Bombyx mori: one gene and its partners. The protein of the gene in region 1 interacts with the protein of each later gene in a biochemical or structural test. Links are inferred from orthologs where the notes say so. Each region holds a gene or a part of one and is shown in the gene's direction. Other genes may lie near its edges.

Evidence for each region.
Region 2: the proteins of anaphase promoting complex subunit 11 (region 1) and ubiquitin-conjugating enzyme E2 C form a complex in vitro, tested with the Homo sapiens proteins (66 studies listed by BioGRID). The link is inferred for Bombyx mori from reciprocal best matches to the Homo sapiens genes ANAPC11 and UBE2C.
Region 3: the proteins of anaphase promoting complex subunit 11 (region 1) and ubiquitin-conjugating enzyme E2 S form a complex in vitro, tested with the Homo sapiens proteins (31 studies listed by BioGRID). The link is inferred for Bombyx mori from reciprocal best matches to the Homo sapiens genes ANAPC11 and UBE2S.

What each region holds. Positions count from the first base shown.
Region 1 is NC_085118.1:13,747,337-13,751,329, forward strand, and holds the start of anaphase promoting complex subunit 11, read left to right. Parts: upstream 1-1,304; 5' UTR 1,305-1,486; coding exon 1,487-1,505; intron 1,506-1,515; exon of another isoform or gene 1,516-1,719; coding exon 1,720-1,955; 3' UTR 1,956-1,962; exon of another isoform or gene 1,963-3,003; intron 3,004-3,993. UniProt on the Homo sapiens protein: Together with the cullin protein ANAPC2, constitutes the catalytic component of the anaphase promoting complex/cyclosome (APC/C), a cell cycle-regulated E3 ubiquitin ligase that controls progression through mitosis and the G1 phase of the cell cycle.
Region 2 is NC_085126.1:12,142,636-12,146,786, reverse strand, and holds the start of ubiquitin-conjugating enzyme E2 C, read left to right. Parts: upstream 1-1,288; 5' UTR 1,289-1,533; coding exon 1,534-1,634; intron 1,635-3,547; coding exon 3,548-3,977; 3' UTR 3,978-4,151. UniProt on the Homo sapiens protein: Accepts ubiquitin from the E1 complex and catalyzes its covalent attachment to other proteins. In vitro catalyzes 'Lys-11'- and 'Lys-48'-linked polyubiquitination.
Region 3 is NC_085116.1:176,241-180,482, forward strand, and holds the start of ubiquitin-conjugating enzyme E2 S, read left to right. Parts: upstream 1-1,431; 5' UTR 1,432-1,566; exon of another isoform or gene 1,567-1,689; 5' UTR 1,690-1,756; coding exon 1,757-1,904; intron 1,905-3,387; coding exon 3,388-3,857; 3' UTR 3,858-4,242. UniProt on the Homo sapiens protein: Accepts ubiquitin from the E1 complex and catalyzes its covalent attachment to other proteins. Catalyzes 'Lys-11'-linked polyubiquitination.

The sequences.
Region 1 (3,993 bases):
GAGATATTATCCCTTAATATTAAAAACAGCAATTAGGAAATTTTCTATTTGGGAATAAGTCTTTAGTTGAAATAGCTAAGCAATTTAATATAAGTAAGTCAATTTTGCACAGACATGTAATAAGAACAATGAAATCTCAAGGTGGACAAAAATGTCTAAGTAATACATAATAAAATATTTATTATTTGTTCAGAGTGTCCGTTTTTTAATGTTTTTTATTGATGATCACTTTGTTGGTGCAACTAAATAAATAAATTAAAACCAAGTAGTGCCCACCCTAGCAAATTTCTCATTTCGTCCCAATTAACCGCAATTTCCGGGTAAATAGGGATTACACCTATTTTTGCTTTTTTTGCTTAAACTGGAATGCTAGTTGCATAGTTTTAAATTGGACAACAAAGATGCTCCCAAGACTCAATCATTTTGATCCTGATATAGCATTATATACATCAACAACTACCTTAAAATTGGTCATAAAGATGGAATTTGTCCCTAATCGCCCCATTTTACCGGTACTTGCGTATTTCAAGTTGCTTCCGCTTGCAGTTCTTTCACTGAAGTTCCAGTACATGTGTAATTTCTATTTTTAGTATTGTTTAAAAGTGATTTATTAAAGACCTTGTTTAGTTTTTAGTTCTTTTTATTTCAAATGATTTTTAGTAGTTTAATTGAGTTTGGTAATTTTTTTTTATTTCACTTAACATCATTTCAAAATATGGTACTCGTTTATGACTTCGTTTCATGTATCGATCCCCGTGCCTATCAGATTTTGAAATAAAATAATAAAAATTACACTTTGAAAATTTTCGAATTAACATCTGACAATTTTTTTAGCGGGAACGCAAGGCGCTAAGTTCTGTTAATTTTGTTAAAGTAGTGCTCATGTTTAAACGTGTAATAACGGTGATTATTACACTATTATTATACTATATTACATTATTAACTGTTTAGTATCTCTGAAGGTGCACAAATGTGGGAAAATGAAACAAATTCGCTGGACGTAGCTTCTCAAAAGCTTCCAAAAAGTCTTGGTGCATAACCACCACTCCACTGAGACTATATTTCATCACATCTCATCTCATTTCATTAACATCCTAATTGATTTACTGTCTCAAATTAATAAACTTCATCTCATTTCGCTCTATGGTTTTTCAAAACACAGAATTCACAGAATACACAAAAAATACGCTGTATGGTGTGATACCTTCGTTTTTCCAGTTCAAAAAATAAAGTAGCCGATAAGACTGACATATGACTGACATTAAAAACAAATTTATTTGATCTTACTTGATTTTACTTCAGTGGTTAGATTAATAAAATAAACATTATATTTTTAAAATTAGCACATAAACTTAAAGGCAAATGATAAATACTGAAAAAAATTTGTTCAGTCAACATATTATATCATAAAAATCGTTAATTTAATTATGAAGGATCTTAAGGTTAAATAAATCTAAAACTTCTATTTTAGCCTCATGATCGCGCTATGAAAGTAACTGTAAAAAGTAAGCACAATCTCTTTTTTTCATAATGTTTATTTTCCCTGGTTAATTTACACTTTATTCTTTGCAACTTAAAACACACTGACATTAAAGTAAATTAAGTAGTAATTTTTGCTAAGTGCCTTATTGTCATAGAGCACAATTCTTAAAAATTCCTCATACAAGGAAGAACCGATTGAAATTGAAATATTCACAGTAACGAGATAATTCATTTTAGGTTGGACAGGGGTTGCAACTTGGAGGTGGGTAGCAAACGACGACAATTGTGGGATTTGTCGTATGCCATTTGATAGCTGCTGTCCAGACTGCAAACTACCTGGGGACGACTGCCCTCTAGTTTGGGGTGCTTGCTCTCACTGTTTCCACATTCACTGTATCGTAAAGTGGCTACACTCTCAGCCTCAACAGCAGTGTCCTATGTGCAGACAAGACTGGAAGTTCAATAACAAGTGAAATATTCGTAAGTACATACCATAAATTAAGAAAATATAGTTTAAATAATAAATAAATATAGGTTTTTATTCTCACACTTTATTGTGTCACTGCTGTCCCATTTTGTAACTATATTTTGTTTACCAACCTATAAGGCTAGAATAATTTGGAAAAATTTATTGTTTGGTGTTTTCAAACTCAATAAGTAGTTAAATGGTTCGATGATTATAGAGTCACAAATCCTTATTAGTCATTTTTAGTTTAGTGATAACAAGTTTAAATCTCACCTTAACTTATTAATCAGGTGGTATGTAGTATAGAATATAGGGATTGATCTGCACATAATAGCAACTTTTATTATTAATGTCAGAATAATGCAAATCTAACATAAATGAAGTTGACAATATCACAACATTTTTCTTTCTTTGAAGCTTTGATTACGGAGTTCTACAGTTTCCTTCCTTTCATAATTCAGCAGAGTACTAAGTTTTAAAGACAAAAGGTTGCTACTATGCTAGTACAGATTAAATATTATTAAAGTTTTCTGTGAATTGTTGTACAAGGGATTGTCAAAAATATCATAATAACGAGGGGTGAAAGGTTATTATTTGGTTTAAGAGATAATATTCGATATTTATCTTTGTAATTAAAGGTGCATTTTATTTGATGTCAGTATAATTTTTTAATTGAACTTTAATTAAGCTAAAGAAGTTTTTTTTTTATTATGTTTTTTTTTTCAAATTTTAAACTTTAAATGGCTCTGCTATAAAGCTGCAAAAATGTCGCTCAAATCAAATAGCCTTTCACCCCGATATGAACTACTGATAAATTTAGATGTGTTGGTGAAATTAGCCTACCTTATGTTCTTTTTTTTTTTATTGCCCCTGTGGGCATACGGCCCACCTGATGGTGAGTGGTTACCGTCGCCCATGGACCTCAGCAATGCTAGGGGCAGAGCCAAGCCGCTGCCTACTGCTAAAATTTTCACTGCTTTTCCATTATTTGTATTTGGGCAGGGATTAGATGCAGTGTAGTTCGACTCCCACAACCTGAATTTGTTCAAACCACTCTGAAATTATAAATATTAGGTAATGATTATTAACAAAACATCTGTAGTGATAGAAAACAATCTCTGGAAAAATATTCTATAAGGATTCTGGATGATTTGCCTTTGGCACCAAATAATTTGGTCAAAGGGCAAATTATCTCTCCCAAAAAAACCAAAATACTGGGATACTCTTAAAATATAATCTTTATATACAGTATTTATAATATACTTTTTTACTGGGCATCGTTTCTGCCTGCACTGATAGTGACCACCATCCTACATATTTTTGCTGTGAAGCAGTAAAATGTAAACATTTGATGTGTGGAGCAGCCGATGTACTGTAAAAACTGACTTAGAAGTCATGTCACAGAATGGGTTGTGACAACTCATTAATCTCTCAGCAAAAATTAACTGTGAACCTTGCTGTCTATTCTTCGAGTTGCCTTTCGCAAAACTCACGAGAAGAGAGTGGATGCCATTCTAGGCCCTCTGGAGCTTAGTGTGCTGCATGCCGACATCGGTGTGTTTATAAACCAAAAAGGTCCCACATATTGCTTAACAGCACTTCAAAGAAATGTGATCAAAGCTGAAGTCCTGACAGGATACGTTGATGGCAAGCAATTTTTTTTGCCCCGAAATCGTCCTTTTAATTTTTTTAATTTTTCTTGTTGCTTCGATGGGTGGACGAGCTCACAGCCCACCTGATGTTAAGTGGTTATTGGAGCCCATAGACATCTACAAACTAAATACGCCACCCACGTTGAGATATAAGTTCTAAGGTCTCAGTATAGTTACAACGGCTGCCCCACCCTTCAAGCCGAAACGCATTACTGTTTCATGGCAGAAATAGGCGAAGTAGTGGTACCTACCCGCGCGGACTCACAAGAGGTCCTACCACCTACTTAATCAAATATCATTTAGTTTCAAACGCGTAATTTTTGTTTGGCAATGACGCGTAAATAATACACGCGGGGGTAGACATCTACCAGCTGCTTCGCGCATGGCCAATAG
Region 2 (4,151 bases), on another chromosome or scaffold:
CCCGATCTTCGTAAGAAGTCTTTAAAGTCTCATGCAATTATTATATTTTAGCCTGCAATGAAGACGAGCGTAACAGCAAGGTGGTGACAGTCGCCAGTGTCTACTACACGATCAGATTCGCAAACCCCTGAGAATATTATGCTTGAAACTCGGCACAGCCGCGGCCTGAAGTTATAGGCCACCTAAATCTCATGCCGAACTCTTCGACGAGCTCAACGAGCATCTACAGTTAATTGCCATTATTTATATTAAGACAATGTGTTAATTTTTAAACATAGAAAGCGAAAGATATAGAGATTTGTATAATAATATAGTTAATAAATACTAATCTAATTATAAGTTTACATTTATTCGTTGGTTAGTCGTCGCTCAAGCTAACCATTAACTGAAGTTAGTATAATTTAAGTCTAGCTGTAGCCATGGGCTTTGAGTAGCTCCTTCACTTTGAAGTAGAAACTCACTTTCCCACCAAAATATGAATAAACAAAAACGCGCCATGTTGTTCGGATTACCGCCTCCACTACAGATATTTTTGTACTTTATAGTTGGAGGAATTCACAGCTCACTCAAAACCCATAAGCACCCGACGTGAATGCCACTCTACCCAGCTTGGAATACTTACAATTGTGTTGTAGAGTTGCTATCCCATTTCAAACCAAGACACATCATGACTTAAATAGCTAGGGATTATCATGACTCAAATAGCAGGTAGCTATCCGTGCAGGCTCACTCTCTACGTACCAGTAATTACGAAGACTAGGTAATGATAAAATGAAATGAGATATGTAATTAATAAGATGAAATAATAAAATGTTTCAAAATGAAATTGTCTAGTAAACTAATCGAATATTACTCTGGCTAATCTTAATTTTTCATTTGGACATATTTATCTAAACTTAAACAGAACAAACAAACAGAACTAAAAAAATCAATACCTACCTAATCGCCTCTTTTATTCTAGTAATCCTATTTAAAATAGCATACAGGTACTATTACATTTAAAATGCGCAAACAATTTTTTAACTTTATCGGGCACATTGTATTAGGCAAAAATTAATACGTTTAAAATTTCATCGTCACATAAAAAGTACTAGGCCAAATTTAAAAAAGCGGGTAAATGAAATCTAAATTTTGAAAGCGATTATCATTTTGAAATTATTTGTGACATGAAATTATTTTATCCACATGTTATAGTATATTCGGATAATCTTATGTTTAAAACTATAATGTTCAGTTATTTATCTTGATTTGACCTATTTAACATATTTATTATGGTTTATTTCAGACCACCTTCTAACATATTCGAGATTAGTGTAAATCAGCATTAAATTATTTTTTCAATTGACCGTGTAGATGGCGCTTTTTAATACGTCAATCAAACAAAGGCCGCCATTACATTGCACTGTCAAATAACGAGATTACCAATAAAATCGTAGCTATTTCAAATTCAACAGGAAGTTGACGACGATTAACTGAAAAATTGGTGTCCCTTGCTATTTTAAGAAAGTGTTCATTTGATTTCCTTAAAATATTATGGCTCAAAACATCAATCCACATTACGCGTCGTCTTCGAACCCAGCTAAGCAGAGTGAAGACACGATTAAACTAAAAGACAATCATGCTGTGAGCAAACGGTGAGTTTTATTATTTTTACCACAACTTTTTCGTAATACCACGGCAAACACCCACGTAGACAACATACAATACAATTAGACTTGCGCAAAACATCACTTCCCAATGTAATGTGATATGACATCACTTTTACAGATAGGTGATATTACTCGAAAACATTACACATCACTCTTAACATTACTCGGTGCGTTCAAAGTGATGTGTATAAACACATCACTTAGGTAATGATTCGGGTGTATAGATACAATGTATTCGTCGTCACAGTATCTATTGAACGCACCGAGTAATGTTAAGAGTGATGTGTAATGTTTTCATCAATCATTACCTAAGTGATGTGTATAAACACATCACTTAGGTAATGATTCGGGTGTGTCATTACAATAGTGTATTACAATACAAAGTATGAACTTTGTATTGTAATACACTGTTATATTACTTGACAGATTGACTTACTTAATAATATAATAATTTTATTTTTTACTTAATATAATTTATTGTGGGATGAACGGATTTCATATGGCGACTTAGACTGCAAATTGAGCTCGACAATAATGTTAATATACGAGAGCAGTAGATGCATTGTTTCGGTGCGATATCCTCAAAAATATCCTCAAAAATCCAAGGAGGACTGTACTTTCATCTAAATGAACGTACGTCTAAACGCCGTTATTTCTTTCACTTATTAAACACGCATTAAAACAAATAATAAAACTATCTTCAAACAAGTGCTTAAGTAATTCAAATCAAACACAAAAATTAATATGAAATATTACTAAACAATTACGAGCGACTAGCGATTTTACAAAAGTTGCGAATAAAAAATTAAGTAAGTACTTGCGGGGAGCTACCGGCTGGCCGCATGAAAAATATAAACACAAATACCTATATTAAAATTCAGACGTACCATAGGTATAAAAATGTACCTAGCGGCCAGGACATATGGTTCAAAATCACTAGGAATAATTCCGTGTCGCTTGCTCATTTATTTTGCGTCGATCGGTCTGTCTCGCTCGCTCGGTTCCGTTCGTGTATTACACGACAAAGAAAGAAACATGTTGGGTGATAGTGTGATGTTTGTTTCCTTCGCGTAATGTGTGATGTTGCATTACATCGTAGAGTAATATTACCCGAGTAATATCACTCGCATTACTTACACATGTCTAAATACAATATATTTTGGTCCTTAGTATCGAAGTAGCGATTTGTGTCTAACGGTTTTTTTCCCACGAAAAAGTCTCGATTATTCTGTTCACTTGCATTATTGTTGGTTTGGGCTGTTTTAAGCACATTATGTAAATGATCATTTAGTGCATGTAATACAAAAGCGCCGAAAAAGTAAAAACCAAATAAAACTATTACACTTTACATAATGTGGTAAATTTAAAAGCACAGTTTTTAGCAGGTATAGGCATTCTCATTGGTTAAAGCGATAATTTTACAATAATTAATGTTCAGTAGGTAGGAATAAGTAAACTTTTTAAAAAGGTTTGTTAATTAGTCACCTTTTCTACATTAAATAGCATCAAGAGCCTTAGACCTTTAGACGCTTTCTAATTTGTGAGATTCTTAAATGTAAATTGTTTATATAGAATTACTTCTCTAGAACAATTACTACCATGTGAATGAATATACCTCCACCCAGAAAATATTGCAAGTGATATAAAATTTACACTCACACTACAACATCAGTCATTCCACATATGGCAGCATCCTATTTACCAAACAATAATTCTGCAAAAACAGAAATTTTATGTCATTACTGGTCAACTAACATTTCATTAGAAATGTTTCAAAGACTCACTACTTAATTAATAAACCTGCTATTAGATTAATGCACTTAAAAAAAACACTATATGCCATTACTTTTGTGTTATAATTTGCATAATTCAACTCATTTTATATTTCTTTTTAATAGACTCCAGAAAGAGCTAATGGAGCTAATGCGGTGCAGTGATAAAGGAATATCAGCATTCCCTGAAAGTGAAAACCTCTTCAAATGGATCGGGACCATCAATGGACCTTTAGAAACTGTATACGCAGGCCACAAATACAAATTATCACTTGAATTTCCAAATTCATACCCGTACGCACCACCTGTTGTCAAATTTATGACTCCGTGTTTTCATCCAAATGTTGACACGTGTGGTTTAATATGTTTAGATATTTTAAAAGATAAGTGGACGGCTTTATATGATGTACGTACAGTATTGTTGTCAATCCAAAGTCTTTTAGCAGAACCAAATACACAAAGCCCTTTAAACCAGCAAGCATCATATCTATGGCCGAACCAAGCTGCCTATAAAAAATATTTAGATGAATTTTACAATAAACATAAAGACTCATAGTCTGTTTTAGAGATTATAAGTGTGTTTTATTTTTCGTTGTAATATTTTTGTGTCGTGGATATTTCAGATTGTGACTGTTGAGGGTTGGTTGGGCTCAGGTTTTGTCTGCTTAGACACTGCAGTCTTGCAAAAAAACTTAATTTTAGACCATACTTTGTAATTTATATTAAAATT
Region 3 (4,242 bases), on another chromosome or scaffold:
TGGTCTTAATATTCAGGTCATACAATCCCTTGTAAAAAAGTAATTCTTCCTAACAAAAACAAAATCAGAAACACAATATGAGATGTGTAGGTATTAAATATCTATGTGTCTAGGGACACAAAATTAAGGAGACCTGTTAATACCCCCGTGCACAAAACAAAACTCTGATGTGGACGTTCCTAGATAAGGAATGTACTTTTGAGTTTGTTGGATTCGCCTCTGAACAAATAAAATACCCACACGACCAAATGGTTTGTTAGAAAAGTCATATTAAAATTTATTTTGCTAAAAGTTAAATGTAACATACTCTGGCAATAATTAGACTACCGTACTTTATGACTTAATCACGAACACTAACGATTACTTCTAACGTCTAAGAGAAGACTAAGTCATCCATGAGAACTACAACTGTAAATTACCTGTACGTAGCGCCGGAAATAATAAAACTACAATAAAAAAAAAATTGTGAAAAGACGTTGAGTTTCAAATGTGTCTACCACACGTGAAGTCGAAGAAAATCTATACTAATATTATAAAGAGGAAAGATTTGTTTGTTTGTTTGTTTCGAATAGGCTCCGAAACTACTGGACCGATTTGAAAAATTCTTTTTCCATTAGAAGCCGACATTGTCCCTGATGAACATAGGCTACTTTTTTATTTTATTTTTTATTTATTTTTTTGGTTTCATGTGTGTTTTAATGTTTCCGAAGCGAAGCGAGGGCGGGTCGCTAGTATTAGATAATAGAAAATAAACATGATTAAGGAATATAATTATAAAGGAAGTGAGCGAATGAAAAATATTAATTGAAGTGAGATATAACACCCTTAAGTGTCCATTGAGATGAATTGAAATCACCTTTCAGAATTTACTGAGCTCAATGGAGTTTTTGGAAGTTGCCGCGAATCTACGTTTAGCGATTTTGTTTCATTTCACGCATTTCTACATGTACTTCAACTGATATTAAATCATAAGTAAGCCACCATTAGGAAAGTTAAGGACCATTACATCTGAATGAACGATAAATTAACAAAATAAATCAATTCACATATTTTGCCCTCTCTCTAAAAAGTCGATGAAACAATTAATTGTTGCCAGTTTCGATTTATAAAATGTTCATGTAGATAATTAGTACAAATCAGCGATTTTTAATTTATTTCCCAATTTTGCGAACTTGCAAATTAGATAAATAAATAAATAAAAATATTCCCCAAAGATATAGTAACAAAAAGTAAGATCGGTCAAGATTATTGAACATAGGTAGCTTAGTATTTATAGCACCTTTCACTTATGTCATAATATCTCTATAGTATGTGGTAGTAAGGAACAGTAAGATAAATTAGCATCACATCTGTGATTTAATATATGGAATTTTATACGTAAATATTTAGTTTTAATTAAGAACACAGTGTGACGACCCATTAAAAATTTTAGCGCATTGTGGAATGAATGTTATAGGAATAGTTAAAGCTACCTTTGCCTAATTGGGCAGGCTAATAAAAAAAATGCAGTTTTATGTTTTGAATTTTGAAAATTTTGATAGATCAACTCGAAATCAAATTTGATAAGTAGTGAACATTTTTCTGAATAATAAAAATTGCATGCTCTGTTGTAGAAAGAGATTAATATTTCGAAATTCCTTCTCAAAACAAATAGAAAAATTCTAAAAACTTAGTGACATTTCGTTTTAGTGTAAAAGGTGATAATAACGCAAGCAAATGCTATGAGCGCCTGACATAAAGAAGGAGAAGCAGAAGCATGTCGAACGTGGAAAACGTATGTCCTCAAGCGTTGCGTGGCGTGGCACGCGAACTCCGACAGCTGGCGGCTAATCCTCCGCCGGGCATCAAACTGCAGCTGCGAGACGACGACATATCTGACATAGTCGCGCTTATCGATGGTCCCGGTAAGAATCTATTCAAATATGATACTGCCCTCACCTCCAGAACCGGTGTGACATTTCGTTAAACAAAAGGCATATCTACTTTCTCATGTCATGTAATAAATCAGAGGTGGAAAGGTAAATGGTCCAATGGCAATGTCTGGATTTGTTACATTGAAGTACATCTCAATATTCAACGTCACAGTTACAATTTATACCGATTTTTTGCTATCTGCTTGATATTTATTTTGTTTTGAATGTCATTACTTATATCTTGCAATGTCTCAATTTTGTATGGAAAATTTGGACATGATTTTTTTTCAATCTGCATCTCCCGTCTTTTAGATATTCAATAATTATGGAGTCCTTTGAAGTCATGGTCTTTCTAAAGATATATTAACAGCTGCAGATATTACATTGTCAGAACTTTGTTTAACTTATAATTTAGACCTCTGAAGAGATGAGGAATAGGAGAATCTGACACTATCTAAAAGTCATAATTTTAAGAAATGTATGATGTGTTCTTTTTGCATATGGGACTTTCTTTAAAACTAAACAATAAATAAATACCTTCATAATGAACACCACACAATATAAGCCACAGATAGGTGAACCAATTCTCAATATATACCACTGCCAGTTATGTTCAAAGTTTTCAAAAAGCTGTTGTCATGTTACATCTTACCTTTATTGGAGAAAAACAAAATCATCCCAAAGAAGTTTAGTTTTAGGACGACATATTTAGTAGTTGTGCAGTTATAGAATGATAGAGAAAATGAGAAAGTCAGGTGTTTTTAGGCCTCTCAAGCACCAGTCCTCCTCGGTTGATTACGACTAACCCATACACAGCCCACTGAGTATCTTGCTGGATCTTCTCAGTAGGTCGCAATTCTGATCTGGTGGTAAATGTTTCAAAGCACTGTTCTTGCTAGGTCTAGTGCTAGCAAATTCTCTCAGGTTGAGCCTGTGAGCTCGCCTATCTGTTCACGAGAAGCTGGAATATCTCCACAGGATACTAGCCAATAAGTAGGGAAAAATTATACATATACACATTTTTTTATGTGTATGATTTTTATGCTTTTTTTTTTCTAATTGAATTAATGTGTCAAAATATTTTTGAGCATTTTTGTATATAGTTGTTATATCTAAAGCTGTAAGCTGTAAGCTGTGTTAAGTAAAATGAGATTTTAGTATGGCCAGAGGTTTAATATTTTTTTTATTGCTTTGATGCATGGACGAGCTCACAGCCCACCTGGTGTTAAGTAGTTACTGGAGCCCATAGACATTTACAATGTAAATGCGCCACCCACCTTGAGATATAAGTTGTAAGGTCTCAGTATAGTTACAATGGCTGCCCCACCCTTCAAGTCAAAACGCATTACTGCTTCACGGCAGAAACAGGCGCGGTGGTGGTATCTACCCGTGCGAACTCACATAAGGTCCTACCACCAGTAAAAACCAGATTCAAGGGTATCAACTAAATTAATGCAAAAGTTGATGATTTCAGCGGAGACGCCGTATGAAGGGGGCGTGTTCCGCGTGCGACTCGTGCTCGGACGCGAGTTCCCCGCCAGCGCACCGCGGGCATACTTCGTCACCCGCGTCTTCCACCCCAACGTCGCCGCCGAGACTGGCGAGGTCTGCGTCAACACGCTCGCACGCGACTGGCGCCCCGAGCTCGGGCTCCGGCACGCGCTCCTCGCTCTGCGCTGTCTGCTCATCGCGCCCAACCCTGACTCGGCACTCAACGCGGAGGCCGCCGCCCTACTGCGCGACCGCTACGACGACTACTTCGCGCGCGCCAAGCTGCTCACCGACATCCACGCGACTCGCAGCCGCGCCCCCGCCCCCGCGCCCGCCGCCGCGCCCGCGCACGCGCCCGCCGCCGCGCCCGCGCACGCGCCCGCGCCGCCCGCCAAGCGCCGCCCCGCGCCTCCCCCCCGCGCAGACAAGCGCCGCATCCTGAAGCGGTTATGAGCCGTCCCGAGATCAAACGATCAGACCACGCAAATGGACTCGTCCAACACGAGCGAACTTTAAGATATTTGCAAAATTGAACTTTAAGTAGTAGGTGAACTTTTTAATAATTTAATGTGTATCTGCAAAAACTGAAATCCTTGCGTTGAGTGTGCGCTGGACAGTCTGCTGCCCTTCCCCCATCTCCTTCCCGAAGCTCTTCCCTCGCGAACGTCGAGTCACTAAATAAAATCTTACCCCAAGTTAATTGAGTTAGAATCCTCCGTGCGGCTGGAGCTGAGCTGCGAGTGGCGCGGCTGGACAGAGCGCTCTGCTGCACGTGACGCTCGGAATATAAATTCACAATATCGCTATTAAAATACGTTTCCATAGATTTAATTCCTAG